7 linked regions of the Mus musculus genome follow. The protein of the gene in region 7 interacts with the protein of the main gene of each other region in a pairwise test. Links are inferred from orthologs where the notes say so. Each region holds a gene or a part of one and is shown on either strand. Other genes may lie near its edges. The genes, in order: Zc2hc1c, Zbtb16, Josd1, Pus7l, Eif4e, Tbc1d22b and Trim27.

Region 1 (3,967 bases), on a different chromosome or scaffold from region 7:
TTTCCTGCAGCAAACACGAATTCATTTTTATAATAATCAAAAGGACATACATTTTGAAGTCTGGATTTTGGGGTCAATTAAAGTTAAGATTTATCTATTCATAAAGGTGTTAGGATAGTAACTAGCAAGAGCTATTGATTAGCAATTGACTGTAGATCTACTACCCATGGGTCTCTGAGGACATCACTGAAAGATAAGAATCTACTTAAACTGTCCAATGTGTGTGCAAGCATGTGCACGAGCGTGCAGACACGTATCCGTTTAGGGGAAGCCTAGGCCTTGGTTTTTGAATGAATGTAATGACATTCCCACGGACACAATAAGATTCTTACCCTCACAGAACTGTGAGGCTCCTACACAAAGCTCTGACTAGAGAGACTAGGCAAACAGAAATCCTGATTCTCCCCTCCGTCCTACACTACCCCAGTTCCCACAAGCAAACCAGTGAGGGCGTAGCAGGCCATTCCACGCACCCCTGCACAGAGTCAAATCTAGGAGGCTTTTATTACCTTGGCTGTGGCTGGTCCCCTCCAGTTCAAGTACTGCTCTAGTTCTGTGCCCTTCGCCCGGGCCCTGGAAGAGTCAAACACTTTTCTTTTGGACCCTTGCATCTTGCCACAGACGGTGGAGTGTCTCTGCAGCCTGAGGGAAAGAAACGATCGTCCACAGTGGCTGCACTTGGCCAGCTCTGGCTCTTCTGTGGAGGAGCTGGACCCAGAGGAGCCTGGTGTCCCGGACCGACTTGACTCCTGCAGTGTACTGCCCAGCTCCTCTGCCGGTTGAAAGAACGCGTCTGCTGAGGGTCCTGCGTCTTGATCTCGGATTTTACTGTTACTGGCCATCAGTCTTTCCCTTTTGAGCTTTTGGAGTTCATAATCAGAGAGCTGGCGTGGACTAGGGTTTTCCTGAGCCTGATCACAAGTTTGATCCTCTCCCCTGTTTCTACTGAATACCTCAGACCTGAACTCTGGGGACAAGCAGGGTTTGTGTGGGGTGTCATGGTCACCATCTCGAACCCTCCTTCTAGGTAGTACCATCCTTTGTAGCTCTCTGTCTTCCTGGAAAATGGCCTGTTTCTTTTCCTTCTGCATCCTTCGAAGACCCTCCTCTGTCTTCTTCAGCTTTTCTTGTAGGAGAATCTCCTTTCTGCGGATCTCCTTCTGTAAACTCTCCCCTGCAGCTTCGAGCCTTTGGATCTGGGTCCACTCGGTCCTATGGAGCTCCGCCACGACCTTCTCTGCCTGCACAGAGGCAAGAAGAGATGAATTCACCCAGCTCCTTAAACCAAAGCTGTTGTCTGAAAACTCACTTGAGTCAGGGAGTCTTGGGTAGCCATTCTGGTCCCCGTCTGCGCCCGCATCACTTGTACTATGTGACTTCCGGTGGACCATGGGTTTCAGTGGGTAAGCCCGATCCACTCCCACTCGTTTCCTCCTAAAGGGAATGAAGTCCTGGTCATTTGCTTTGGGATACCGGGGTGTCGGACTAGACAAGTAAAACAGACCCTTTCCTTGGCCCTGGGCATTGTTCCCTGAGCCTTGCTGCCTGATTCCTGCACTGTGGGGACAGGAGTGCCTCCGGGCTTTTGTGCAGACGTTCCTTTTGGGGCGGGTGGAGACCTCGTCCTCCTGCTCCATTTCTGTGTTGCTCCAAAGCTTCGACTGGAAACTATTCCTCAAATGTCCCATCGAGGGCCGCTGGGAAGAGTCACTTTGTTCGTAAGGGTCGTGCTTAGCTGAGTGGAGTCCAGGAGCTTCTGTTTTATTATGTGGGAACATAACGCCCACAGGCAGATGTGGAGCCAACTGGAGACCAGCCATTCAGTGCCTGGACCGAAGCCTAGGGGAGATTTAAAGCAGATACATGTGAAGAATTTGTCTGAGGTTCACTCCCGGCTGCTAGAGTAAACTGTTTGTCCATTTGCCCTACCCACATTCCCTTTAAACGTTTCTCGGGACTGTGGTGTTGGCTCTGCCAGGACATTCTTTCAATAAGCATTTAGGGAGTGATGGTTATGTGCCAGGCCAGACATTGCTAAGCCCCGAGGACCAAAGAATGGACGTGACACAGGTGTTCTGCCACTGACTTTCCTCCAGGCCTGTAGATGACCTGCTCTACACCATTTATGGAATGGGTGGGAAAAGCTTTAGATAGAAGGTCGTCCGTGACACAAAACAGGCAACCTGCTCTTACCAGCCCCGGGTTCTTGTAAATTGCAGAGGCCGCTCTGAGTCCAGTCCCACGGTTTTACGGGGTGAGAACAGTGGCCTGGCGACAGGGCCTGGCCCAAAGCACTCCCTGGACTTTCCCCTTGCTACAAACTACAAAGAGCACGAGCCACCCGGGCCTGAAGCAGGTGCCCGGCTGTCAAGCCCTCATGCAAAGATGCTCTATGGCTCAAACCGCACCAGGCTTGTAAAGAGAGTGTGTTGGGAGAGGGGGTGACAGACACCTGAGCGCCCCAGCCCGCTTTGGATCCGGAACTCCAGAGTCATGTTCTGTCCCAGAGGGTCAAACGGGAGTCCTTACTGGGACCCGGCCTCTAGGGATAAACTCTCACTCTCCAACCCCTCGGGAGGTCTCAGTATCTCCCCTTTCGGCGTACCTGAGGCGCTCGGGGGCCGCTCCAGCTCAGGGAAAATCCCCAAGACCTAGTTTTCCACACCTGACTAAACCCAACCGCCGTCCACGCAGGCGCTCTCTGTCCACCTCTGTTATCCCGTTGCCTGGAGACCAGAGCACCGCCTCTGGTTGAGAACTTTTAGCTCCAGATGTGCGCAGGCGCAGTCCACAAGCAATCCGAAAGCCGCCGGGGCAGATTGGGTTGGAGGGACGGAGGGAGGTGGTGGAGGGAGTGCGGGGAGGTGGGGAGGGAGGTGGGGAGGGAGGTGGGGAGGGGAGGAGGGAAGGGAGGTGGAGTACGGGTGCAGTCGGGTCACTTGTCGAGGTGCAGCCAACTCCGCAGCTCAGATCAGCGTTTCCCTTGGGGAGGGGTTGGAGAGGTTTTTCTGGGGCTACATCAAAGAAGAACTTGGATTTCTCCGAGAATGAAGCTCCCAGACCTTAGGGTGTGCCCTTGTCTGGAGAAGGGTGGAGCCCCTAGATGGGCTGCGGAATCATCCCGCCCCAGGATTCGGGAGTCTGTCCAGCTAGCGGGAGTGGGACTGCTGATCACCCTTCTGAGTGCGCTCGGCTACTGCGCTCAGGCCCCAGGTAGGGCTATGTAAGAGCTCCAGGCTACATGCTCCGGGCTGTCTTCCCTCGCAATGCTTTGGCGCTTGCTATTATATTAGCTTTACTATTATTTCACTACGTGTTATAGTCCCAGGGTAGTTTCTATGGCCAATCTAATCATTTTGCTATTATAACGTTTCACTCTCACGTGACCGTTACTACTTAGGGCCCAGGAATGACTCAGCCAAAAGTAACAATAATAAAGTTAACAACCAGATCAACAGTAATGAACATAACTTGATTTCAACATTAAATGGTCCTCTGTAACTTTTTGACAACAGAAGAGAGTTTATTTGTCTTCTTCGTGCTTCAGTTCATTTGGATAAGCTGTTTTGGAACAGATAGCTCCGTTTTTCTTGTAACTACACAGAAGATTCGAGCACGTGGGAAATAAAGTAGACAGCAGTCTCGTTAATACAACAGATCAGATGTCAGCTTTTATGCGCTACAAAAAAAAATTCCTTGGTGGACTCTCTAGGGCAGATTGTCAGTCATTCTTTTCATTCCCAGTTGGCTCTTCGGCCTTCTCCACATTGCAGAGGTTTCCCACGGACTAGGACCCTGCCTCAGTCAGCTTCTATGGGTTTTCCCATACATCTTTTCTAACTCGTTTCCATACTCTCCCCCTGAATCTCTAGTGTTCAAGTATACATAACTTCCTTGTGCAAGAAAAGTTCCCCTTCCCATCCCTGGGTCTGTCTCTCTCTGTGTTAGGATCCCACTGGAGTCTCTT
Region 2 (4,115 bases), on a different chromosome or scaffold from region 7:
ATCAAGATACGATTCTGTGGGTCCTGTGGGAGATCCGCGGTAAGCCAAGAACACAGCACCCCTAAACTGAAGCCTGGAACTAATACCTTAGGACTGGAGGGTGGGGCTGTGTGGGTGACTTTTCTGAGACCCCTGGGTGGCGCTCTCCACCACACCCCCAATAACACTGCGCTGGGGCTTTGGCCGGAGGCCAGTGCTCAGAAAAGAACCCTCCAACCTCAATTCCCTGCCTAGCTTCGTGTGCAAAGGAGGAGACGGTGCTTTCCGCGGGTAGAAGGAATATTTTTTTTCCTTTGGTCTTTCTACCCTACGGTTTGTCATCTCAAGTACGCCCTTTAAAATGGTCCAGCCGCTGAGGGAAGAAAGTACTCTGGAGCGGCCCAGCGCTCTTCCAAGCTTCCAGTAGCTCCTGAAGGCAGAGCTGAGTTAGGCGCAGAATCTTCAGAACTTTCCATCCAGGTTCCTGGGGCCGGGGAAGATGGGGGGGGGCGTGCGGGCGGGGAGGATGCCCGAGATTAGGAGTGAGAAAGTATTACTACTCAGGCCTTCGCATCTCAGTGTGCAACAATCTAGATAGCAAAATCGAGGTGCTGCCTCCTACCAGATTTCTACTGGCCCCTTTAGATTTATCTGGCCAAATCCGGCGAACTCCTGTGGTCAGGCATCAGAGGCCTGGTTTGGGACTTGGGAAACGACCCATTTAAAGCTAGGGTAAGGGAGGATGCGATCCGAATCCTGAGAAAAAGTGAAAAGCTAGAAGCCACACACTGAACTGGTGCAAATAATAAAAAACGGGACAAAACTGCGCTCTTGAGTACTGGAGTTGGGGGAGTTAGGGGCGCGGGATACACCGCATGCCCAGTGGAAATGAAAAAACCTGGGGCTAAAGTGGGAACCGCTTCTCCCACTCATCCTTCTGACCCCTTGGGGACTGCCAGGTCCTCTGCGGCTCCTCTTCCTTTGCAACCTTTTGCCCTCTCCACCTAGCCAACGAGCAGCAGCCGCTGCCGCCGGGGCAGCAGCTAGATGTCAGGAGAAGCCCGGAGCGCCGAGCGCTGGGAAGGGAGGGGAGCGCCCGGGAAGGGAGGGCAGGGCTGGGAGAGCGCACGGGCTCTGCCAGGGCGGGGGTGGGGCGGGGTGGGCGGGCCAGGACCGGCCAGGGGGAGGGGAGGGGGCAGCTGTGGGCAGGGAGCCGGGCTCGGCCGCCAGCACTAAAGATGGAGAGGCGCCGGGGCCTCGCAGGGGAGGGGGCTCGGCGTTGACGTGGGACGCGGCGGAGGCGCCGCAGCCGGTGGTGATTTGCTAACCTAGCGGCAGAGAGGAGTTAAGGGTGACGAGAGCGGGTACTGCGAACTGCCGGGCGATGCCGCCGCTGCCGCCGTGAGATCCGGAGCAACAGTTCCCCAGCAACACCCCTTCCCCGATCCAGGCACACCCCTAACCCCCCAGGCACGCACACCCACCCCAAGCTCCAGGCTCCGTAAGCGGTAAGTGTATGTGTGTAGGAAACCCGGGAAGGACTCGCACCGCCCAGCGACCGCCTCCCGCCAGGGCGCCCTGGGGCGGGAGAGGTTTAGGCGGGTGGTGCTAGCTTTGGCCACTCGGCCGCTGGGCTCGTGCGGGGTTCTCTGGTTGCTGCTGCAGCAGCGATCGCCAGTGCCCGTTGGGGGTCAGCTAGAAAGCGGCGCTGAGGCTGTCAGCTTGGGCACAGCTGCCTCACCAACCTTTCTTCTCCGGGCACGGTCCGGTCCGGGTGAGAGGTGGCAGGCCGGGAGGTCTGCCAGGGCTGCGGGCGCGTGTAGTCGGGGACTGGGTGTCTTTGTACAGGCAAGGGCTGGCGGAGGAGCAGAGAGCCTGTGGGTGCTCATATGTATGCGGACCGGTGCGCTTGGCGTGAGATAGGATTGTGTCTTATTTATTTGTGTTTATTCGCTGGCGAGCTGGGGAGCTAGACCCGGAGGAAGCAAGGAGTGAACCTGGGGGTCGGGTGGGAGGGGACTGGTATCCGATCGGGTTTTGTTTTCTTTAGAGAAAACGTGGTGGGATTTTTTTCTTCTTTTTTTGATTGGACTTGATGCCCTCTTTTAAGGAGAGAGGGACGCTTCGGAGAGACTCTGGCGCTCCGAGTCCTCCTCGGCTCTCGGTGGGAACGGCCGGTGGAGCGGGAGCTCGCTGTGCGCTCCCGGCCGCGCACGGTGGGTTCCCGGCTCTGCACCTGATGCATTCGGGATGTCTTTCCCACCCTGGCGCGCTGCAAGCTTGCCCAGCCCCTCGCACGCTCCCGCACGCGCTCGAAATGCGCACGATCCTGCCAGCCTGCGGACCCCACCGGAATGCACAGGAGCGCACCGCTGCAACCAGCTCGCCTCCTCCCCGCCACGCTCCCAGCGTGTTTGACTCGGGCACGCCGGCAGCTGGTGCGGGAGGCCGGGGACCCTGCTGGTGACTTCCCGGGGATCGTGATCTTGGGTGGAAGGTGGAGGACCCAGAGATCTCTTCTCATTTGGCCTCCCACCACTCGCCTCCAGGCTTTTGTGCATCCTTTTCTCCCCTGGGGGGGTTGCGCTGCCGGGCCGGCCTAGCAGCGGCGTCCAGCCCGCTCGGACCTTCTCCTTTCCCCAGGCTCTTTCGCTTTCCCCCTTTCTTAGTTCTGTTCCCTTTCTTCCAGGCACCTGACTCCTGGGGAAAAGTTGCTTTCCCAAGTTTGCCAAAGTCCTATGCAAGTCTCGGCGGGGGTCTCTGGGAACAAGGGGTGTGTTGCACCATCGATCCTCGGAGCTCTGGCGGGTTAGCGCTGGCTTTGCCCAGAATCGGCTGATCGCTGCACCTAGGGACGGTCGGATCGCGGGTGCGGAGCCGCCGGTTAGGGATAGGGCACCTTGATTTCCCTCAAGGCCCAAAAGGTTCCTTTGAGCAGCGAACCTTCTTTATTTTGGCTTCTCCCCCTTAGTTCTCCAAATCTCTGATCTCTCTCCCGAAAGCACACCGTGCTCATGAAGCTTTTGAGGAATGGATATCTCACCGTTCTTGATGATGCCCTCCGTTTCCACTTTAGGGTGGGCAATAAGAGTGGCCAGCCACTATTGTTAACTCTTTCCGCATGAGTTTTGCACCTAAGAGTCTTTAAGACTCCTGTCGAGGGTGAAGGCAAGCTCTGCGAAGAGTGGCTGAGAGCCTAGCTCTCTCCACCCTCTTCCCCAGGCTGTGGGAAATGTTGGCTACAGAGAGACAGAGGTTGGGACCTTATCCCGTTAGGTCTTTCTGCCTATGTCCCAATGGCTGTTCAAAGTTGGGAGCCTCTCAGTCATCCAGAACACTTTCTGGGAGAGGCCTTTGTGTTCCAGCCCTGTCTTCCCTTCTTTTGGGCTTAATTCACCCCAGAGATGCTGGTGCCAATGTCACTTAGAGAACCATATTCAATGTCAGTTTTTCTCTTTGTCGCTGGGCTTGCCAACACCTGGGAGGCATCCAGTCTGGTGTGCACTCTCAAGGCTGTTGGGAACATACTCTCCTATGGTGTTACCCACTTTCTCATTTTAGAGCATTCTGTCCATTGGGGGGCTTGTGGGCTGTGGGTAAAAGAGGAGGCTGTAGCATCTTGTATAATTGCATGTAGGTGTACATTCACGCGTGTGCACACCTGTGCACACGTGCGCGCGCACACACGCGCGCGCACACACACACACACACACACCTTGGACACATACAGCAGCTTTAAAGAACTTGTAGTTAAAAATGAGTTAAGGTAGAATGTGATGTGATGGGTGTGAGGGGGAGGGTGCGGTGTGGTGTGTTTGTCACAGCCTAAGTATGGGTCTGCCAATCCTGTGCAGCCCTGACTTAAGCGTGCAAGGACAGAGGCCATAGAAACCACTGGATGATGGAGAGGAGTCATGTCTAGGATGACTAGGAGAAGACAGCTTCATGGCCAGCAGATCTGGGACCACCATCATGTTTAACAGCCCTGGCTAGATCTGGTTGTCTCCTAAGGCCGTCTCAGTGAGCCAGAACTAGAAAAACATTGAAGATGAGGGCTTGCCCATAGGGGTGGACAGGAAAGCCGAATGCTTCTTACTTTTAAGTAAGTTTGTGAGCCTCATGGTGGACACTGGCCT
Region 3 (4,228 bases), on a different chromosome or scaffold from region 7:
CGATTGCTATTTAGCATTGTATGGCCAGAAAAAGTTCAGTTTCAGAATACATTGCTATCTGGCTGGGGGGAAAGACTGTCCTTCTCACTATAGGACTTTGCCTAGAAAGGATATATATTCTGAATACTTGCTTTTCGAATTGAATGTTTTGGAGAATAAATATAAAAAGTAACAGTTGAGAGGTAATTCCTAATCATCTTTACATTCTCTTTCTGAAAACAATTTGGTCCAAGCTCAAACCCTTAATTCACTATAGACATAATGATTTCAAACAACTTGATCGACTTCTTTGGGCTGTATTTTTCTCCCTGAAAAAGAAAAAAAAAGTCTAATTTGCTTAACAATAATTAATTACTCATCAGTTAATTAATAGATGTTTACAATAATTCTGGTTGAACAGCAAGTCCCTAGGAGATAAATCCTATGTAAATACACTGTAACAGTTTGGTAGTTTACACATTACACACACACACACACAAAAAGATAATTCAAAAGTAGTCTAGGTAGAGGATGCCCTATCATGTGGTAATCTCTCAGATGTGTTGCACAATACTGTTGATTGGGGTGATCATGAGGATTAGAGAAACCATTACTTTGAAAGTGCAAATCTGTTGTTTTCCCTAACAAAAATCCGATAGGAAGGCAAGTTAGAAACAGTGACTTAATTTAAACCCATGGGAAACTGTAAATAGTCTGCCTTTGGACACAATGTACTCAGCTAAACTCAAAATACGGAGCTCTAGTTGGTAGAGTGCTTGTCTTGCATTTACCAAGGTTCGATCCCTTGCCCTGAACAAATTGGACATTCTTGGTTACGTAATGAGTTTGAGACCAGCTGAACTAGAGAACACACACGCGCACACACACACACGTCTAAAAAGAAGGATCAGAAGGGAAAAGAAAACACAGAAAGGAAGGCTTGTGACAGCCATCAAGAGAAGGTTGCTGATCAAAAGGGCAGTGGTTTGTGTGAAGTGAACTGGAATACGACACCAAGGATCTGAAATAGAACTCAGGTTTCCATTTGAAATATGACTCCCGGCGAGAGTCTTGCCCTCAGCTCTCAAAGAAAACTGGAGGCGGTCGGGTTCACCAACCAAGATTACGCCCGACCGCGTCGGTAAAGTGTTAGGAAATCTGATGAACATAAGTGGGCCAGGGCAGCCGCTGCCCGGGCTCAAGAAAGCACTCTGCCGGGAGGAGGGCCCTGCGGCGTCCAGGCGGGAGTGGGCGCCGGGGCGGAGCTGCGGCGAAGCGACAAGTCGACCTCCCCCGCTACCGCGGAGCTCCACAACCCTGCACAACGGCTCCGCGACCTCTAAGCACCTCCACCGGACCAACAGCCCGCGTTGGCTACGTCACACAACGTCAGGGGTGACGCGAGGTTGGCAGGCGGGGTCAGCGCGGGGGCGTGTCTGGGGCGCGCGCGGAGTGAACGCCGCTGACGTCGGGCTCAGGTGCGCGTGCCCGCCCGCTCCGCCGCCTGCTTGTCCGCGCGTGGGCCAGGTGGCGGCCCGCAAGCTCCAGGTGGCGGCGTCGGGGAGACGAACAGTCCCCGCCGGGCAGGCAGCGGGAAGGAGCCCGGGACTGGCCTCACGTGACAGCAGGAGGTCGCTGCGGGGACGGTCAGCCCGGTGGGCCAAGGCTGCACCGGGCGAGGCAAGGCGTCCGGCCGCACCCTCGCGGGCCAGGCGGGACCTCCCCGCGGCGGCGCCCGGGCTGCCGTTCCCCTTTCCGCGGCTCCTCCCGCGCCGAGGCGAAGCGGCTCCTCCGCTGGGCCGAGTCCGCCAGTCCGCTGGCGGTCATGGAGCGCTATCCCCGGAGCCCCCGCGCGGCCCGCGACCTCACGCCCTCCGATCCTCGCTAGCTCTTGGCATTGGGCCTTTTCTCCGCCACCCAACCCGGTCTTCGGAGCCTGTGGTGTTGTGATTCGGACGAAATGGAAGAAAAGGAGCGATGTGACCCCTTCGGTTCTGCCCTCCTGCATTGAGGCCTAGTTGGCATCTGCAGAGAGGAAAACACGGCCAGGAAAGCGTGGTGTTTCTTTTTTTCCAAAGGGGGTGGGAGGGGAAGGCGGCAGCCAAAGGGAGGAATCCTACGTTTTATATGTTTTTTTTTTCTTTGTTAATTCTACACTTTGAAAGTGTTGGCTAAATAAACTAATCCAAAAGTTATTTTTTCCTATCGAGAAGACAGAAAAAGGTAGATTTTTTTTTTTGTCCCTTTTGATTCCAACCTTTCCTCCCAGTGACAAAGCATAAATCATGAACACCAGAGAATAAATAGGTGAATCTCAGGAATCCGAAGACAGAAACCTAGACTTTCCTCAGGAGGGAAGGAGCGGAGTGTTTAGCGGCTCTGCCTGGAACCTAAATCGAAAAACATGAGTTGCGTGCCATGGAAAGGAGACAAGGCCAAAGCTGAATCCTCGGACCTTCCCCAAGCAGCGCCCCCACAAATCTACCATGAGAAGCAGCGCAGGGAGCTCTGTGCTCTTCATGCTCTCAACAACGTCTTCCAGGACAGCAACGCCTTCACGCGGGAAACGCTGCAGGAGATTTTCCAGAGGTAGGACTCCCCTGCTTGGCATCTCGATCCCCCCCACTTCTTGGTATTTCTGAGTTTGTGTGGGTGGTGCAGTGTCTCGGGGACAGAAACCTTCAAACCTACAGGTTTGGAATTTAGATGCTGGGGGCAGGAATGAGGCACACAGAAATGGCAGGCAGGTAGTCACCATCTATGGTCCATCTGTGGTGGACTAACCTCAGTTGTGCTGTCTCCACGGCTGGAGTCAGACAGAGGACTCCGTGTGGCATGTGTTATTCCCATTTGTGATGAAGACAGGGCTCAGTGGGTCCTATCTCCACTGGTGGTCACTGCTCTATTGCCTCCCTAACAGACCTGCCACCAAGGAGTTTACAATCTAGGAGGGATACAAAATACATCCACATTCAGCCATCTGTTACCAAAGGTGGGACATGGTGGAAATCTCAAGAAAAGTATACCCACAATGCTTAGCTGTTCTGGGGCCATGTGCTGCCTGCCCATGGTGTGTCCTTCATTTGTTCTGTGTGACTTCCTCACAGTTCGTTTTACTGATAGAGAAATGAATAGAAAGGTCAAGTAATTTGTTCAGAGTAGCTTCTGAACCAGCTACGCTGCGATTAGAGCAGACTCCAGCTCTCTCCTGCTGTGTGATAACTTTAGTGGGGCTGGTGTGAAGTTCAGTGATAAGAATGCTTGCACATTACGTAGGGGGTCCTAAGTGCAGTCCCTAAAAGTGTGTCCCTAAAAGACTGTAGAACAAATATGCCACTCTACAAGTGGTCCAGGGTACAGTTTTATGCCCGTTGCTTTGCTTTCTGAAGGGCCTTGAGAGTTAGTTCTATAGTGTCTGACTGGACCCAGCAACATGACAGAAGTTCATAGCAGCTTTGACAGTGAGCCTGTCTTACCCCTCCAACTGGAAAAGACCTCAGGACAGAGAGAGCTCAAGGATGCTGTAAGTGGTATACACTGAGGTCCTCATTTGGAGCTGCACAGGAACATGCGGTACAGCTAGGATGTTTGGGGTGATTGGTATGCCTAAGTGTGGACCACTTAACTTGAAAGAACTACAGGAGTCTCTGAGAAGAGCTGTATCCTGAGTGCTCTTACAGAACTACAGTGAGAGTAATTACTTTCTAGTGCCAGTGAAAGATCAGAGGGCAGCAGGGCCGATGTGCCACTTGCTCTCTGTAAGTACAGCTCAGTCCTCAGAAGACGAAGCTCTGGGGGTAAGAAAAGGTGTCTTCCACCACCCAGTCATGTGACAGAAAGGAGAGCCCAGGCTACTTCTGAACGACTTCCCTTTGGCCAGCTGTTAATGTTCTTCTGGGTAGCTCTGAATTGTTTTCTCATCTCTAACCAGGGAGAAGGAAATGACTGGCCATGGGCACCTGAGTGTGCTCGCTGCTACTTGGTACTTAGAGCAACCTTAGCCATGGCCTGGGAAGCCCAGACAGAGTTGCTGTCGTTTGCCTAGTTTTACCCACCAGTAAATTAATGTCAGATTGTATGTAGTTAGTCACGGTCAGGTTGACAGGTTCTGACCTCTGTGAGTTTGGCTCCTGGACTGACAAGGGAGTTAATGAGACACTAACAAACCAACTCTCTGCTCCATTCTGAGGACTCCCTGTGCAGCCGCAGAGTCCTCACACCCAGCTTGGGAGGTAGGCACTATTGTTTC
Region 4 (3,500 bases), on a different chromosome or scaffold from region 7:
GCCACCGAAACTTAGAGGAGGTTGTTGCAGTCCATTTTCACTCATATATCCTACATTCCAACACACAAGACTCCTGATTGGTTGCATTTCTGTTCAATCTTCCGAATACAATAAAAGCAGTTCTGCCTCAGGTTCCAAGTGCTTATATGAACAGATCAATAATCGTTAATACAAAGCAGAATGGTGGTTTCTGGGAACTGAAAGGAAGGCGTGATTATTCAATTGACGCTGACGTCAGAATAGGAAGGTGCTAAGATTCAGGAGATGAATGGGGACAGTTGGTCCATGACAATGGTGGGCTGGAGAGACCGATCAGCCATTAAGGCTAGGCTCTCAACCAAAACCCTCAGGAATGGATAAAATGGTAAATTTTACATAAAATATATTTTAAATGTTTAAATGTAAACATTTAAAGCAGCGGTTCTCAACCTTCCTAATGCTGTGAGCTATAAGCACAGTTCTCATGTTGTGGTGAGCCGGACCCGGTAAGATTCTTTTCATTGCTACTTTATAACTGCAATTTTGCTATAGTTATGAGTCATGATGTAAATATATTTGGAGAGAGAGGTTAGTCAGAGTGGTCCTAAGCCACAGGTTGAGACTCCCTGAGTTAAAGGATAGTAAAGTTATTACATAAATACATAGATAGGTGTATGAACACATGAAGGCAGAGATATTTTTATACGTGATATTTTGATTCTTATAAAAGGTCACCTAAGCAAAATTGCTCATTTTGCATTCATACACCGATATCATCATATTGGCCTCTTGGTGAACCATTAATTCTAACTTCAGGAAAACTAACTAATGCATAAAAAGATTCTTAGATCTTGACTCATTAACCTAAATCACTGGCACTGTTTCCAGTAGTATAAAAAGTTAGAAGCCCTAGGAGGAGACGTAAGGATCTCCCTGGGAAGGGAAATAGACTAGATTCCAAGGAGGGAGGCTGGGGACTGGTGGGGGTGGGAACAGAAGAATCAGGTGTGTGTTGGAGAGGGGGATACTGGGAGAAATGACTGGAACTGGGGAGACAAGGTGGAAACAGTACAATGGAAAGTTCATAGACTCTATGAGGGTGACCCTAGCAAAAACTTCTAGTAATAAGAGCCTGAACCCGCTATCTTCTGCAAGGCCTCAAATGGAGGGACCAGGACACCAACCCAGCCACACAACCTTTGACCTACAGTTTGTCCTGTCTGCAGAGTGTTCGAGGACCGAGCAAGCGGAACCATCACAGTGACCATAGAGACTTCATCTCGCAACTGATGGGACCAGATGCAGAGCCCCCACAGCCAAACATTAGGTGGAGCTTGGGAGTCGTGTGGAGGAGTGGGAGGAAGGATTGGAGGAAGCAGAGGGGTCAGGGTCACACACCGTGAGACCCCAGTCCACAGAATGAACTGATTGCTACTCAAAGGGACTCGCAGAGATCAGGTAGACTATAGGGGTCCGACCGACCTAGGTCCACTGGGTGTGTGTTACGGTGGGGTAGCTTGGTGTTCTTACAGGAATGCTAACAGTGGGAGCGTGACTGTCCCTGACTCTTTGGCCTGCTTGTGGACCCTGATCCTCCTACTGGCTTGCCTTGTCCATCCTTGATGTGCCTAGTCTTACTGCAGCTTATTATGCCTTGTTTGGAAGATGTCTCTGGGAGGCCTGCTCTTTTCTGAGAGGGGTAGATCTAGAAAAGAAGGGGGGTGGTTAGAGACTAGGGGGAAAGAAAGGAGGGGAAACTTCAGTCATATGTAATATATGACAGAGAAATAAATAAGCCTTAGAGCTACTTAAATCATGCAATCCCTTCCTATAAATCCGCAATTCTTCCTATACATCAGCAAATCACTTTAAATCGGCAATTCTCTTCCTATACGTAAACCTACCTTTACTTTTCCTTCAAAATAGATTAACTCGTTCATAGTATCGTTTTTTTCCCACGCTCACCTTTGTGGATGCTGAGCTTTAAGCATATGAAAGATTTCCCGTGTCCAAAGTGTTTAACGATGCCTTACGAAGCTGGTGTCGGAGATCAGCCTCAGCTAAGTGAGGTCATGTCTCAAGAAGAGAAGCAACAGCTAGGGGTGCAGCTCGGGGTTAGAAGGCTTGCCTTGCATGCACCAGGTCTTTAATTCGGCCCTGACCTGTCACCTGTGTCTGAGTGAACTGCTGCTATGCAAAACCAAGCCCACAGCACTTCAAATTCGAAGGGCTCGCTCACACCAGAATCCTGTGAGGCACGGTTCTTTCCCTGTGCCGTTTGCATGTGTGCCTACTGTTGAATGTCTGCTAGATGAATTTATAAGACATGCTCACTGGAAACACTTTCTATCCCTCAAGTACCATATAGTGACCAATGAACCCCAGACCTGTCCTCTGACATTTCATCGGATCCATTCAGCCTTTGAGAGACCTTATAGCCCTTAAAGCAGGAATTCTCAAGATACATTCTCCATGCCAGATCGGCAGGAAATGCTGCCTGGGGGAAACTGAGGAACTTCCACTCTAAGCCTTCTGAATCTGAAACTGAAACAGAACTCAGAAAACAATACGGCAGAGGGGTTACAATACTTGCTGAAGTGTGAGCACCCCTGCCTGATAAGACAAGTGTGTGTGTGTGTGTGTGTGTGTGTGTGTGTGTGAGAGAGAGAGAGAGAGAGAGAGAGAGAGAGAGAGAGAGAGAGAGAGAGAGACGGGGAGCATCTTGCACTTTAGAGTCTCTCTTCCCTTTCTAAGCATGGCAATAGAGCCGTCTCACCTCCAAATGCTTAATCATGGTTGACATTATTCTGAAAACAGGAAAATCATTACTCTCAAAACTGCTCGAGCACAAAACAATCGCGTCAGCTTTCCACACCCGTGACTGTTCGGTATAGATGCCGTTTTATGAAATTCGTTTTCACACTGACCATACAAGGCAAGGCTTCATCTTTCCCCCAATCAGTCAGTCCATATAGTCTTTACACTAGCTCTATGACCAGGTCCCGTTATTCAAATGATCCACCGTTCACAAATTTTACACAAGGAAAGGATGAGTTACTAAGTTACCTGTGTACACAGCTTTTCCTCTCTCGCAGCCTTCCGGGTGAGATCTCTTCCCGCGTGCTTTTTCCCGGAATCTTACAGTTATGGCTGAGTCTGGGTTCCCAGCACTGTGGTGCTGCCCGGGAAAAGATTTGGTTTCCACCAGGTTTCCGAACTTCTTGTTGAGAAAATGGTGCACAGCCTTCCTGTGATCCTTGTTCGGATCCGGCTTAAAGGTAAACTTGGAATTTTCTTTCTTTGCGTCCAAATATTTGAAAAAGCCAAGAGCCTCCTCTTCCGACACCAGACGGCAGAGTTCTTTACACTCACGGTTTGGTTTTACAACAACTTCACCCTGGTTTCCTACGGTGATCAAAAAAGGAAAGGCCTGCCTCACAGCACTGTGCAGAACAGCTCTGCGGTTTTTGTCAAGGATCTTGCCTAGGGACAATTCAGGAGATGGCTCAGTTAATTCAGTT
Region 5 (3,500 bases), on a different chromosome or scaffold from region 7:
TTCCGTATGTATTTTATAAGGATCTTTATCAAGTTATCAGTGTGAATTCATAACAACCACCACTTAAAGAGCATTTTTCTCTCAGCCAATGGTTTCCACTCTGCTACCCACAGTTCAGCTTACCCTTCGGCGTTAACAGCCACACCTCATCTCACAGGATCTGAACTATACAATTACGTACTGCAGACAAAATGTCTTCATGTTTGCTTTAAATGATACAAAGAATAGATCAAGGTTTCAAGTTTACAGAAAACCATACTGCAACAATTGACCAATATAAGTAGTTCTTAATACTTGTTTATTGTGTTTTATTCAGATAGTAACACTAATGTCCCTAACGCATGTTTCTCTATATACTTTCCTTACGCTAATTTTCTGGCCATTAAGTAAAAACATCTTAAACCCAACAATCAGTTTCTAGCCGCTGTTCCTACCGAATGGTGATGCACCAAAACCCCAATCCTCATCAACTGTAACATAGTCAAAGTCCATCACTCAACCTAGGACTGAGCAACTGTGCCTTAACTTTATTAAAAAGATAGCCACATCAGTGTAATTACATGTGATACTACCTAGTCAATTTATTAAAAATTGTAATAAACATAATAAACTAGTGCTCCAAACTGAGGCTGTGCATGGGGAAGACACTCTAAGAAGACACAAGAGACTGCCTTGCAATACGAAGTACAGATTCCTTCTAGAGATGGAGAAATAAAGGACAAATCTAGTTGTCTAAAAGACAATTCACTGTACACATTTTATTTACAGTTTTGTACACTGTCTTAATATGGATGGGACCGCTTTTCTACTTGAGCCATTGTAACCAAAGCAAAATAACCTAAGAATACAAAGTGTTAAAGTACAGCATAGAGATACAAAGGCAGACATACTAATTCTAGTTAGGAATGTAATTATGGTGTTACATTTTTATAGTCCACAATTATGTTTAGGGATCACACAGACATAGATCACTGATTTGAATGAAATGCATAAATTTGTAGCAAAGCTTTGTAGTTACAAAAAACAAAAAAATTACCAAAGAATGCACAAATTTAATGTTTATTCCACCTTTCTGTCATATTCCTGGATCCTTCACCAATGTTACACGAGGAAAAAAACAAAAGCAAAACAAATGAAAAACTGAAATCAGAATCACTAATGTTATCAAGGAGGGAAGCAAATAAATTAAATCTAGCAGCCATCAGCAAGAGGACAGCAAGGACAATGCTGTGAAAGGAAACAGAAGGTTGCTAGAAAGCTGTACTCAGACTCTCACACCAGCAAAGTCCGCTCCTGCATGGAGTGGAGCAAAACCAGATCTTTCCTGCTAAGGTAATAGAAATGCAAGTTCTTTTTCGAATACTGTGGAAAGGCAAATGTGTGTGTCATGGTAATTCTAACCGGCTGTTACAGAGCGGGCCAGGAACACATCTGCGGGTTCTGGGGTGACGTATACTGTAATTCTTTGATTGGGATAGTGGACACACTAGCAAAAATTGGGGGTGGGGGAGGAGAATGAACACAGAAGTACAAGACAAAGGCGAATGAGACTTCTCTTATATCTTAGCAACACTTGGATGGAATCAACTTCAGTGCAGTCCACTCTGCTTTGATGAGGCTTTGGTTCAGCTCCCAATCTCGATTGCGTGACGCAGTCTCCTGTGAGAATACTCAGAAGGTGTCTTCTTAAACAACAAACCTATTTTTAGTGGTGGAGCCGCTCTTTGTAGCTGTGTCTGCGTGGGACTGATAACCAATCACTATCTTCGGAGGAAGTCCTAACCTTTCCTTGTATACCCTCCTACAAGACATGGGAGACAAGAAACAATATTTTAAAAAAAAAGATAAAGTCTTCATATGTATTTTATAAATCTATCATATATTAGTCTTTACATTAGCAATGCAAGTCGAAATGTGTTAATTTTCTCTCAGTATTAACTAGCAAAATTAAAAATTAGTCTTTACTTTCACAGCCAGACTTTAATCACATTACAGATACCTGTAATCTCACCAGGTTTGTTTTTATTATTACTAATAAAAAGATACAATTATTACTAAATCAGTAACAAGCAAAACACGATCAGTCCATGGGCTCACAGCAATTGCTTGGTTAACATAGCAAGTGCCTATCTCAAAAACTAAAGTAAAAATTGTATTTACATATGAATTCTATTTTGCTTTATGTACCAACTTTACAAACCAATTTCAAATTAGTTGTGATTACTTTAAAAATAAAATGTGATGTATACTAACTAAACAAGGTTTAACTGTATGACTATCAACTAAATTCAGAGAGTCTAAAGCTTATCTGCAGTATTAGAGAAATCTCTCCTTAAAAGACCAAAAAAGGGAATAGGCATTGTGGCACACGCCTTTAATCCCAGCACTTGGGAAGCAGAGGCAGATATCTCTAGTGAGTTCTGAGACAGCCAGGGCTAGGTATGCAAAGATCCTGCCTCAAGTGGATGGATGGGTGGATGAGTAGAGAGGTGGATAGAGGGATGTCAAGGTATTAACAATTTAATCTGCAGGGAATGAAGCACATCTAAAGGTTGAAAAAAAAAACAAGTGCTATAAAAAAATGAAAATTGTGAGGCTGGGTTGTGAGTATGAAATAAGGCTAACAAGCACCTCAGAAAAGAGCAGAGGACTTAATTTTTAATCTTAGAAAGAAATCTGAATGTTTAATTCTCAGAAACAATATGAGGAAGACCCACTTTCACCGAGCTTTACCCCCGGCAGAATCACAGTTCTTCCAAACAGGTATTTTTTAAGTATGAAATGGTACCATAACAGGTTTTTTAAAAAACTCTTTACTATTAAAAAATGTATTCACATACACACAAAGCAATGAGAAGTTAAAATGTGTCAACTGGAAGCAATAAAAAAAATATTTCCTTGAATAACTGAGGTTAGAATGTTTTAAAGATTTCAAAACATCTAATATTGACACAAAAAGTTCTATAACAAATTCATTAATTTCTGTTTTTTTTTTTAAATACAACATTGCTACAGGTCAATGTTTATACTACAAGATGAAAAATGACAAGCTAACAATGAATGAATCCCTGTAATCCCACTTAGAATCTAGCTTGGTTTTTCTTACTGATTTGCATGTAATCAAAGAGAATTCTAACAAAATTGATGTGTGTGAATTGTAAACAAAAAAAAGAGAGAGAAACTTCTAAACACATGGGCTCTAAATATGGACAGGAACTAAGGCATGATACTTTTTATGGAAATACACCTGCTGCAGACAGTGCACACACCACTGCTGCAAAAACCATTTTACATTAATGAAAAACAGACAAACACATTCAACATTAACAGGATCCAAACTTTTGTTTGTGAAAACATTTACAAAGAAAATAACAGTTTATAAACACCAAGTGTCTAAAGCTGCACATAAAAGACATCTACACACTTAATTAACCAAGGGTCAAGGAAGCAGGAGGAGAGCACAACGTACCCTATGTGTGTGACTGCATCTCTGTTTTCAC
Region 6 (4,037 bases), on a different chromosome or scaffold from region 7:
AACAAGATCTCTACTTGCTGTCGCTAAAGTCACTCTGTCATGATCAAAGAAACTGAAAGTAACCGGTTACAACTTGGACTTTTCTCACCTTTCAAACTGCAAAGAAGAGAAAAGTAGCTCTCTACATCTCTGAGGACCCAGCACATGCTCGGCCATCTCCACACTCAAAAGAGTTCAGACATCAAAGTTCTGTTCTGGAACCAAAGCACCTTCTATGGGAACCAACACCAGCTTCTCCCCACAGCCCCAAGCTGTCTGGGACTCTCTGCCAAGAGTGTACAGGAGACAACACCGCCCTCACCAGGCAAGGTATGGGTCAGGGTTTATGGATCATGGCAACATTTTTATGCCTCTATAATAAAGGAGACAAATAACTAGCTCTGGGGAGCTGAGACACATCCTTTTAAATGTCTGCTTGCTCTAATAACAAGAGGACAATTAATAATGACTATTTATAGAGCAAGTACAGTGTACTAAATAAACACTGTCCTGGGTTCTTTACAAATAGGGCATTTTGGTTAGCCTTCGGGGAATTCTGAGGGAAGAGTTTTTAGTCCCCACTTCATAGGAAACTGAAGCTTAAATAGATTGTGAGTCCTACAGATCAGAGAATCTGAAGGACGATGTCAATGATGATGACGATGACAATGGTAATGATAATAATAATGATAAATGGTGGTGACCTGGACTCCAAGATTCTTGCCTCTGTGGCTCTATGTTTCAAAATGAAAAAGGAAGCCAGAGATTTGAAGAAACTGAAGAATCCTCCTAGCTAGCAAAAGCAATGCTTTTGGGCCATCAAAAAGGCTCAGCAGATAACGATGCTTGCGGCTAAGCCTGATGACCTGAGTTCAAGCCCTGAGATCCACGGGGTGGAAGCAGAGAACTGACTCCTGTAAATTGTCCTCTGACCTCTACGTGAGCACTGTGGCATACACACACACATACACACACACACACACACACACACACACACACTGATTAAGTAGATGAATAAATATAATTATTTAAAGTGGTACTTTTAAAAAGTTGACTTCCTGTAGGCCAGTAGAAGAAAAAGACAAAAGGCCATTAATACACCACATCTGGCAGTCCAAAGGCACAAAGACCATCCATCGCCCATTGTCCTCACCCCTGCTTCCTGACGTCACCATTTTCCCAATGATCGTTATCTTAGGATATCAAAATGAAATGACCCCTCCAGAGCAAACTCCCAGAGAAGAGCAGTCCACGCAGCTGGAGAGCTCACTCAAGCAGGAAGGAAAAGAAATCTGTGGCAGGAAGCGGAGCTTATCTAAAAACACAGTGTCACTGTTCAATGTGTGAACACCCTAGCCCCACAGCACTTCAACCCAAAGCTAGCTTTGCCTCCCCTGCTATTATATTAGCACACATTGCTAAAACCTGGTCCCTCAACTTTCTCCACGTGTGTAATGACAGCTCAGAAAAGTTACACAGCCAATGCTGACTCTCAGTTTCTCTTTCGCTTGAAGAAGGGGGCGAGGGCTGTGTGTAACTCAGTGGCAGAGTGTCTTCAACAGTGTGAAGAGAGAACGGAAGAGGGGGAGAAAGAGGAGAGGGAGGGGGAGGGGAAGAGAAGGAGGAGAGAGAATGGGAAAGAGGGGAGAGAGAGAGGGAAAGGAGGAAGGGAAGAGTGCGAGGTCACAGGTCAAAGGACTACACCTGAACAAAAAAAGACTTAACAGGAAAATCACTAAGGATAGAACTCATGAGGGCGGTGACCAGACACAAACTCTTAACACCAAGCAGCCTGTGGCTGGCAGAAATCTTAAATTCAGTAGTGAAACACATAGGGCTTTCATTTTTCAGGACATCACCCAAAACAAACGGAACCAGTAAACCAAAAGGCAGCCTGACTGAGAGACAATTGCTCAGTGTCAACATACACTAACAAGAGAAAGAAACACTAAGGGAATAAGTTGCTTGAAAGGTCTGCTCTCCAACAAAACAAGAATAAAAGAACTTAATGCATCCACACTGAAAAATCATCACTTCTCCGGGATGCCAGAAGGAATAACTTATTCTCCACCCTGCGGCCACCCTGTAATAATTTCTCAAAAGAAAGGACCAACTCAAGACAGAGTAAGGTCAGGCTTGAGAATTCCCCCTCCCCTGTCTTGCTCATACCCCTGCAGGCCTGGCCCAGGCTCTCCTATCAGAACCCCTTTGGGAGTCCAAGGGAAGACAGGAATGTGATGATGGGCTGGGAACCAAGGCCATGGGGCCACCAACCCTCATGCAAGCAGCCACCCATGCTGTTGGAGACCCCTAAGGAGTTCTGTAGAAAGTCGGAAGCGGTCTGCAGGTGGCCCTCCACGGCTACGCTGACAATGGCAACTCGCCCAACTCCACTGCCCCTCACACTGGTCCCCTGACACCTCCCAGCTGAGGTTCCCCGCCCCCAGACCCCAGTCTGCACCCCACACCCAAGCTGGCCAGGCTCCTCTGATTGACAGCTGCTCCAGCCTGGGCTACTCCGACACCAGCCCTCCGGCCTCGGGGGTACCCCAAGACGGAGGGATTCAGGGACCAGGATCTGGAAGGCTTTGGGTCCAATCCCCACTCCCCTCAGCGTCCTGGGCTCACCTCCCCGGTAGCTTGGCGCTCCTCTTCCAGAACTGCTTGCTGTTCTCGGCGGCCATCTCTCCGGCCCGGGGGAAGGCCTGGTCGGTGGGTCACGGGGGGGCCCCGCGACAGGCCCCCGGGACCCCGCAATCTGAGGGCCAGCCCAGGCCGCTTCCCCGCCGCCGGTCACCCGCTCCCAGCTCCTGGGGGCGCCATCTTGGATGTGGGCACTCCCCCCGCCCAACACCGTTGCCATTGGTGGGCTGAGCAGGCCGGTGGGCGGATGGACCAATGAGGATCCCGGATCCTGCGGGCCGCTGAAGGCCCGCGGCAACGTCAGGGGCTGGGCACACAGGTGGGCCGGGGAGGCGGGGCTTAGATGGGCAGGAAGGCGGGGCTGAAAGTTCCTACTCCCCGGAGGCAGAGAACCAGGTACTGCGAGGAAGAAGTAGATGGGACTGTTGCCTTTGATGGGCTGAGGTTCTGGGGTTGTCTTGGTGGAGAGGGGTAAGGAGAAACCATAACATTTGTATACATTAGTCTTTAAAGGAAGGCCTCATGTAATAATGAACATTTTTTAATGTCCCTCACCTCAATGGCACCCAGGGTGGTTACCCCCCCACCCCCCCACCCCCGCCTTGTTCCCTTATGGTCCTAGTTTCGCAGAGGACAGTTCCGGCCATACCCCAGTGCGGGTAACTGTTGTATGAGTAGCAGTTGATTTATCAGACTCCCCCTTTCTTCCGCTAACTGAACTTCGTGATGTAATCCCTTCTTCGGGTCTGACTCTTTCTGGTTATGAGGATCCAGATACTGAGAAGTCATGCTTAGGAAATACTAATTTATCCTCCAAGTAGCATTTTCTCTAGGGACGTTGTTCATCCCCATGGCAACAATCAGGAAGATGAAGGATGTACCCCCAATATCCTCAACTCCTTTATTAACTGGCTATAAATCTTCCATCTATAGATTCATTTTTCAATCTAATTTTGACTCAAAATGAGATCTAATTTTAGCATGTTGTCTCCTTTGGGTGTCATGTTAATGACTACCTCTCTTTTTTGAGTGTGTTCTGGGACATTTGGGGGAAGATGGAGGGTACTTCCTTTTTCTACTCCGAAGAAATGTTTGTTCAGACAAGGAACTGTGGATATGTGCGAGCTACTGCTCAATCCATCTCTGTACTAACACCCTAGGGTTTCTAAATATTGAAAAATACATTACATTTATTCAGTGTGTGTGTGTGTGTGAGAGAGAGAGAGAGAGGAGAGAGAGAGAGAGAGAGAGAGAGAGAGAGAGAGAGAGAGAGGTCAAAGGAGAACTTCAGTTTTCTCTTCTCACCGAACTCAGGTCGTCAAGACTGGCTGTAAGCCCCTATACCCATTGAGCCATCTTGCTGGCCCAACATACTGGCAAATTCTCAAGGCTCCTTCTTTTCCCACCTAAAGAAA
Region 7 (4,021 bases):
GTGCTGTGATTCGGCTTGTGTAAACTAACAAAGCAAAACTACTTACTACTGGCTCTTTTCAGAAAGTTTGCTAAAACCTGACCTGAACTCAACTGCTCCAAGAGCCCTCTACTCAGACCTCTTTTAAGCTGGATAAGTCTTTCAAAGTCATAAAGCACACAATATAATCTTAGGTAACATTAAAGCTAAAAATAAATTCATGCAATGTATCCAAAGCAGTGTGACTTACACCCTGGCACAGGTGTTTCTTACTGCAGGCCACTTGGCAGCCTCGTCTCACTTCCACACACTGTCTCTGATTCAACCCAAAACACGTATTTCAAGGGAAGAAGCGGCAGCACTGGCTGCTGGAGATCCACAGGTTTCTTAGGTCTGACCTCTATTCCAACAGAAAGAAATTAAGGCCCGGAAAGCCTGCACCCACTCCACTTAAACTGGCTAGTGTCTGACCCAAGAAGCAGGCCCAGGGTTCGGGATTCCCAGGGGCTAGTTCTCTCTGGACAAACCTCCCAAAGCTGATAGGCTCTGCTTAGAGGCTTCTCACTACACCCCTGCCAAGGCCGAGAACTGTCAGGGATTTTCAGAGCAGTTCAGAAGCTTACTATCCTAATGCAATCAATTCCTCTGCAGGCTGGAGATCTGGACCCTTACCAAAAGCTCAGCTCGGGCCTGCTCCCCCTGTGCCCGCCGTCTCTTCTTCAAGTCTTTCACTCTTCTTAGGTGGTCCAGTCGGTTCTGGATTTGCTCCTGAAGAAAGTAAATAGTCGGCCAGTTCAAGATTTTGCAGATCTCAGCATCAGAATACTCTGCTTTTCACACATGAACCCAAACTACAGATGCCAAGGCCCCGCTGGACTCTCTTCTCAGACCATAATGCCACTCCTGGGAAGAGCCCAAAGCACAGGGGCCAGCAAGTGTGTTAGCAATTTGTTATTTAAACTCTAGCCACCTACCAGTTCCTAGAAGCGGTTACAAGACATCTGGGTAAGGAGGCTCAAAAGGTAAGCTATTTCTCAGATGAATACAGAAAAAAAAAAAAGATTTATTTTCCTCAAAGAATCAGTAAACATTACTAAATTACAACTTATCTCCAGCGAGTGAAATGATACAGGTGACAGCTTTGTAAACGTGACTGACATTTGGATGAACTCACACTTAAACAAATATATAACTCTGTTGGTATAGATCCCTGCAGCCCTCAAGATCATTATCACTTCAGAGCTACTTTATATGTAACGTTTTCGTACTACTGTGTAGCTGTGCCAGTGTTTATTCAACACTCCACAAAGGTCCTGTGAGTTCACTTCCCCTTCACAATAAGCCATCTCCCGAGTCTGAGAGTGGCTAAATGATTTACTTAAGCAGTAAAAAGCTCTGTTCATTTCCATTCAGTTCTAAAACAGGTTTACAGGGAAGTGCTGGGGACACAGATTAAGTGATGGGCACTGCTCGATGTGAATTCAGCCAGCCAACAGTGACTGTCTGGCTTGGTATCCTGGGTCAGAGCGAGTTCGAGGCGTTCAAGGCCTATGGAAGTGTACTTGGCTCCATGTGCATCTCCTTTGTCAAGGGAGGGTCTCCTCGCGCCGTCCCAGTCGCGGCACGCGTAGAGGCGGTTAGCAGGGGCGCTCGGGGTGGGGGTGGGGGTGCTCCTGGCCTCGCCAGCTACAGGTTCTCCTTCCCAGTCTGAGTGCGGAGGCTCCGCAGCCGACAGGGAGGAAATGACGGCGGTGGGCCCCACGTCCGGCTCGCCATTTTCTCGGTATCAAACCAGGAAGCCCCCGGCTCGCCCCTTTGTCCGCCGGCCCGGCCCTACCTTGAAGCCCTCCACCGCCTCCTCCAGGGGCAGCACGCTGTGGCCGCGGTGCTCGCGCGAGCGGTCGCACACCACGCAGATGGGCATCTGGTCCTGCTCGCAGTACAGCTTCAGAGGCTCCCGGTGCTTCTCGCACACGCCCATCTCGCCGCCGGGCCCCGACGGCCGCTCGGTGCGCAGCTGCTTCACCAGCTGGGTCACGTTGGCCAGGTGCCGGTTGGGTCGCATGTGGCGCTGCGGGAAGGTCTCCCGGCACTGCGGACACGACACGTTAGTCTCCGCGGCACCCCAGCAGCGGGCCAGGCACGCGCAACAGATGTTGTGGCCGCAGTCGAGCATCATAGGCTCCACGAAGTACTGAAGGCACACGGGGCAGGTGGTCTCCTGCTGCAGGCACTCGGCCACGCTCCCGGAGGCCATGGCGCGGGCCGGCTGGGCCGCAGGGCATGAGCCCGGAGCCGAGCTCTGTCGGAGCTCAGCGCGCTCGCTCCGCTTCTCGGCTCCGGAGCGGGGCGGGGCCTCCGGCGCGGGGATCGCAGACGCGCGCGGAGCTCTCGGGCGGCCAGACCCGTCCCCGCACAGCTGCTCCTCACCGACAGCACGGGGAGGAGGCCTGGGCCCCGGAGCCCGGCTGAGAGCCGAGCCGAGGGGAGTCGGGAACCGGGCGCCGCGGGCTGGCTCACCGGGCAACGTGGCCGCGTCGGAAGGGGTCCCGCGGCCGCGCAGACTCCTCAGGGCCGAGCGGAAGAGGTGGGCCGGGGGCGGGGCCTGGCTTCCCGCGCCGCTCTGCTCTCTCGGGGCGGGAAAGCGGGTTTCCTCTGCACAGTCCTGGGTCCCCGGCACCCAGCCCGGGAGTCGGTCGTGGCTGTCGCGTGCAGTGGGAGCAGAGTGTCCCCTGGCAGTGGCGTCGGGTCACTCCAAGCGTCTGTGGGCCCGTAGTCTTCTGCTGAGTTTCCTCTTAGTGGCTAGGCCTCGGCTCCTTTAAAAGTAAGATGGCTTTGCATAAATGCCGGAAAGCTGGGCGGGGAGACCAGCTAGGCCCCTCCCAGTGTGACACACCCAGCTCCAGGCGTTAACAATCGCTAGAAAAGGGTTTAATCATCAGCAACTTTTCTCAGGGGCAGAAACGGAGAAGCCCAGTTCTATCTCCACCCTAAAGTAAATCGGTTTATCGTTCCGAGCCTCATTTTCTTCTCGTGTGAAATGGGGACCGATCGAATCCCGACCAGAGTGCTGACCAGACCATGAAGTCCTCCCCCATCTCCCTAGCTCTACCGTTACTAGGGAGCCACCCCACCGAGAGCCCGCTTGTGAGTCCCTAACTTCTTCTCAGGCTCCTCAGGTGCCCAGTGTCTCACTTCCTCAAGTGAGTAGCCAGACCCGACGTGTCAAAGGGCTGCCTGGCGACACACTTCTCTCTCGTCTTCCCTGCCACCTGCTGAGGAACCTACGTGGCTGTGGGTTCCTATGAGACCCTCGAAGAAACAACCCGGATTCTGCCACGTGGGCCTCATTCTCAGAACACTCCCCCACCCCCACCCCCACCCCCACCCCTCACCTCCAGCCTGGGCCCTGCGGCGCTGGGGCCAAAAATTCTGATTGTCCACTGTAGTGTTGTCCTTCTGCCCATGACGTTAATAACTCTTCTAATAAGTTCTTACTCCCAGCAATCTAGTTCAGTGCCCTCCTTGAGCTCCCATACCCTATTGCTTTCAGGAATTTTCCCCATCAAGGAGTTACACCTTTTTAAACAAACAAACAAACAAACAAACAAACCACAGCTTGAGCATAAAGATCTTTATCCGCTAGTTTAAATGAAGCACCCAGTACATCGAATGACATTGAGTAGAACCTAAAACTTGCTTGTTTCTGCCCAATCGAGAGTCCTGTGATGACCGGAGGAGGTCTTGTAGCCTGGTTTCTTATCACAGAATAGGTTTTCAGTTCTGTGCGCTGTCACTTATGCCATGGCCTTTCCTACTCTCCTTTGGGATTGACTCCGTGCCTGCCCTTGTGTTTGAGCAACAGGGAATTTCTGTATCCAGGCCATCACTTCACTGGATTCTGCTTGATTCTTCCCTATGGGACAAGAAATCCGAGGTACTTAACAAGTCTCGCTCATCCAAACCTCCATTCTCCCCACCTGCTCTTTGAAACTCCAGGCTCAAAACAACTCAGCACACTTCCAGTAAATGGTAGAATATT

The links.
Region 1: the proteins of Trim27 (region 7) and Zc2hc1c interact in binary tests that used the Homo sapiens proteins (3 or more experiments, as listed by UniProt). The two-hybrid records come from large-scale screens. The link is inferred for Mus musculus from reciprocal best matches to the Homo sapiens genes TRIM27 and ZC2HC1C.
Region 2: the proteins of Trim27 (region 7) and Zbtb16 interact in binary tests that used the Homo sapiens proteins (3 or more experiments, as listed by UniProt). The two-hybrid records come from large-scale screens. The link is inferred for Mus musculus from reciprocal best matches to the Homo sapiens genes TRIM27 and ZBTB16.
Region 3: the proteins of Trim27 (region 7) and Josd1 interact in binary tests that used the Homo sapiens proteins (3 or more experiments, as listed by UniProt). The two-hybrid records come from large-scale screens. The link is inferred for Mus musculus from reciprocal best matches to the Homo sapiens genes TRIM27 and JOSD1.
Region 4: the proteins of Trim27 (region 7) and Pus7l interact in binary tests that used the Homo sapiens proteins (3 or more experiments, as listed by UniProt). The two-hybrid records come from large-scale screens. The link is inferred for Mus musculus from reciprocal best matches to the Homo sapiens genes TRIM27 and PUS7L.
Region 5: the proteins of Trim27 (region 7) and Eif4e interact in binary tests that used the Homo sapiens proteins (3 or more experiments, as listed by UniProt). The link is inferred for Mus musculus from reciprocal best matches to the Homo sapiens genes TRIM27 and EIF4E.
Region 6: the proteins of Trim27 (region 7) and Tbc1d22b interact in binary tests that used the Homo sapiens proteins (3 or more experiments, as listed by UniProt). The link is inferred for Mus musculus from reciprocal best matches to the Homo sapiens genes TRIM27 and TBC1D22B.

The regions. Positions count from the first base shown.
Region 1 is NC_000078.6:85,287,424-85,291,390, reverse strand, and holds the start of Zc2hc1c (zinc finger C2HC domain-containing protein 1C), read right to left. Parts: upstream 2,801-3,967; 5' UTR 2,606-2,800; intron 1,840-2,605; 5' UTR 1,821-1,839; coding exon 510-1,820; intron 1-509. Other genes in the region: Acyp1 (acylphosphatase-1), read left to right, coding at 3,048-3,213.
Region 2 is NC_000075.6:48,833,426-48,837,540, reverse strand, and holds the start of Zbtb16 (zinc finger and BTB domain-containing protein 16), read left to right. Parts: upstream 1-1,315; 5' UTR 1,316-1,487; intron 1,488-1,599; exon of another isoform or gene 1,600-1,753; intron 1,754-4,115. UniProt on the Homo sapiens protein: Acts as a transcriptional repressor. Transcriptional repression may be mediated through recruitment of histone deacetylases to target promoters. May play a role in myeloid maturation and in the development and/or maintenance of other differentiated tissues.
Region 3 is NC_000081.6:79,685,073-79,689,300, reverse strand, and holds the start of Josd1 (josephin-1), read left to right. Parts: upstream 1-1,428; 5' UTR 1,429-2,383; coding exon 2,384-2,568; intron 2,569-4,228.
Region 4 is NC_000081.6:94,537,008-94,540,507, forward strand, and holds part of Pus7l (pseudouridylate synthase 7 homolog-like protein), read right to left. Parts: coding exon 3,046-3,500; intron 1-3,045. UniProt on the Homo sapiens protein: Pseudouridine synthase that catalyzes pseudouridylation of mRNAs.
Region 5 is NC_000069.6:138,553,691-138,557,190, reverse strand, and holds part of Eif4e (eukaryotic translation initiation factor 4E), read right to left. Parts: coding exon 3,470-3,500; intron 1,802-3,469; coding exon 1,687-1,801; 3' UTR 1-1,686. UniProt on the Homo sapiens protein: Acts in the cytoplasm to initiate and regulate protein synthesis and is required in the nucleus for export of a subset of mRNAs from the nucleus to the cytoplasm which promotes processes such as RNA capping, processing and splicing.
Region 6 is NC_000083.6:29,548,565-29,552,601, reverse strand, and holds the start of Tbc1d22b (TBC1 domain family member 22B), read right to left. Parts: upstream 2,801-4,037; 5' UTR 2,664-2,800; coding exon 2,608-2,663; intron 1-2,607. UniProt on the Homo sapiens protein: May act as a GTPase-activating protein for Rab family protein(s).
Region 7 is NC_000079.6:21,178,710-21,182,730, reverse strand, and holds the start of Trim27 (zinc finger protein RFP), read right to left. Parts: upstream 2,801-4,021; 5' UTR 2,237-2,800; coding exon 1,817-2,236; intron 748-1,816; coding exon 652-747; intron 1-651. UniProt on the Homo sapiens protein: E3 ubiquitin-protein ligase that mediates ubiquitination of various substrates and thereby plays a role in diffent processes including proliferation, innate immunity, apoptosis, immune response or autophagy.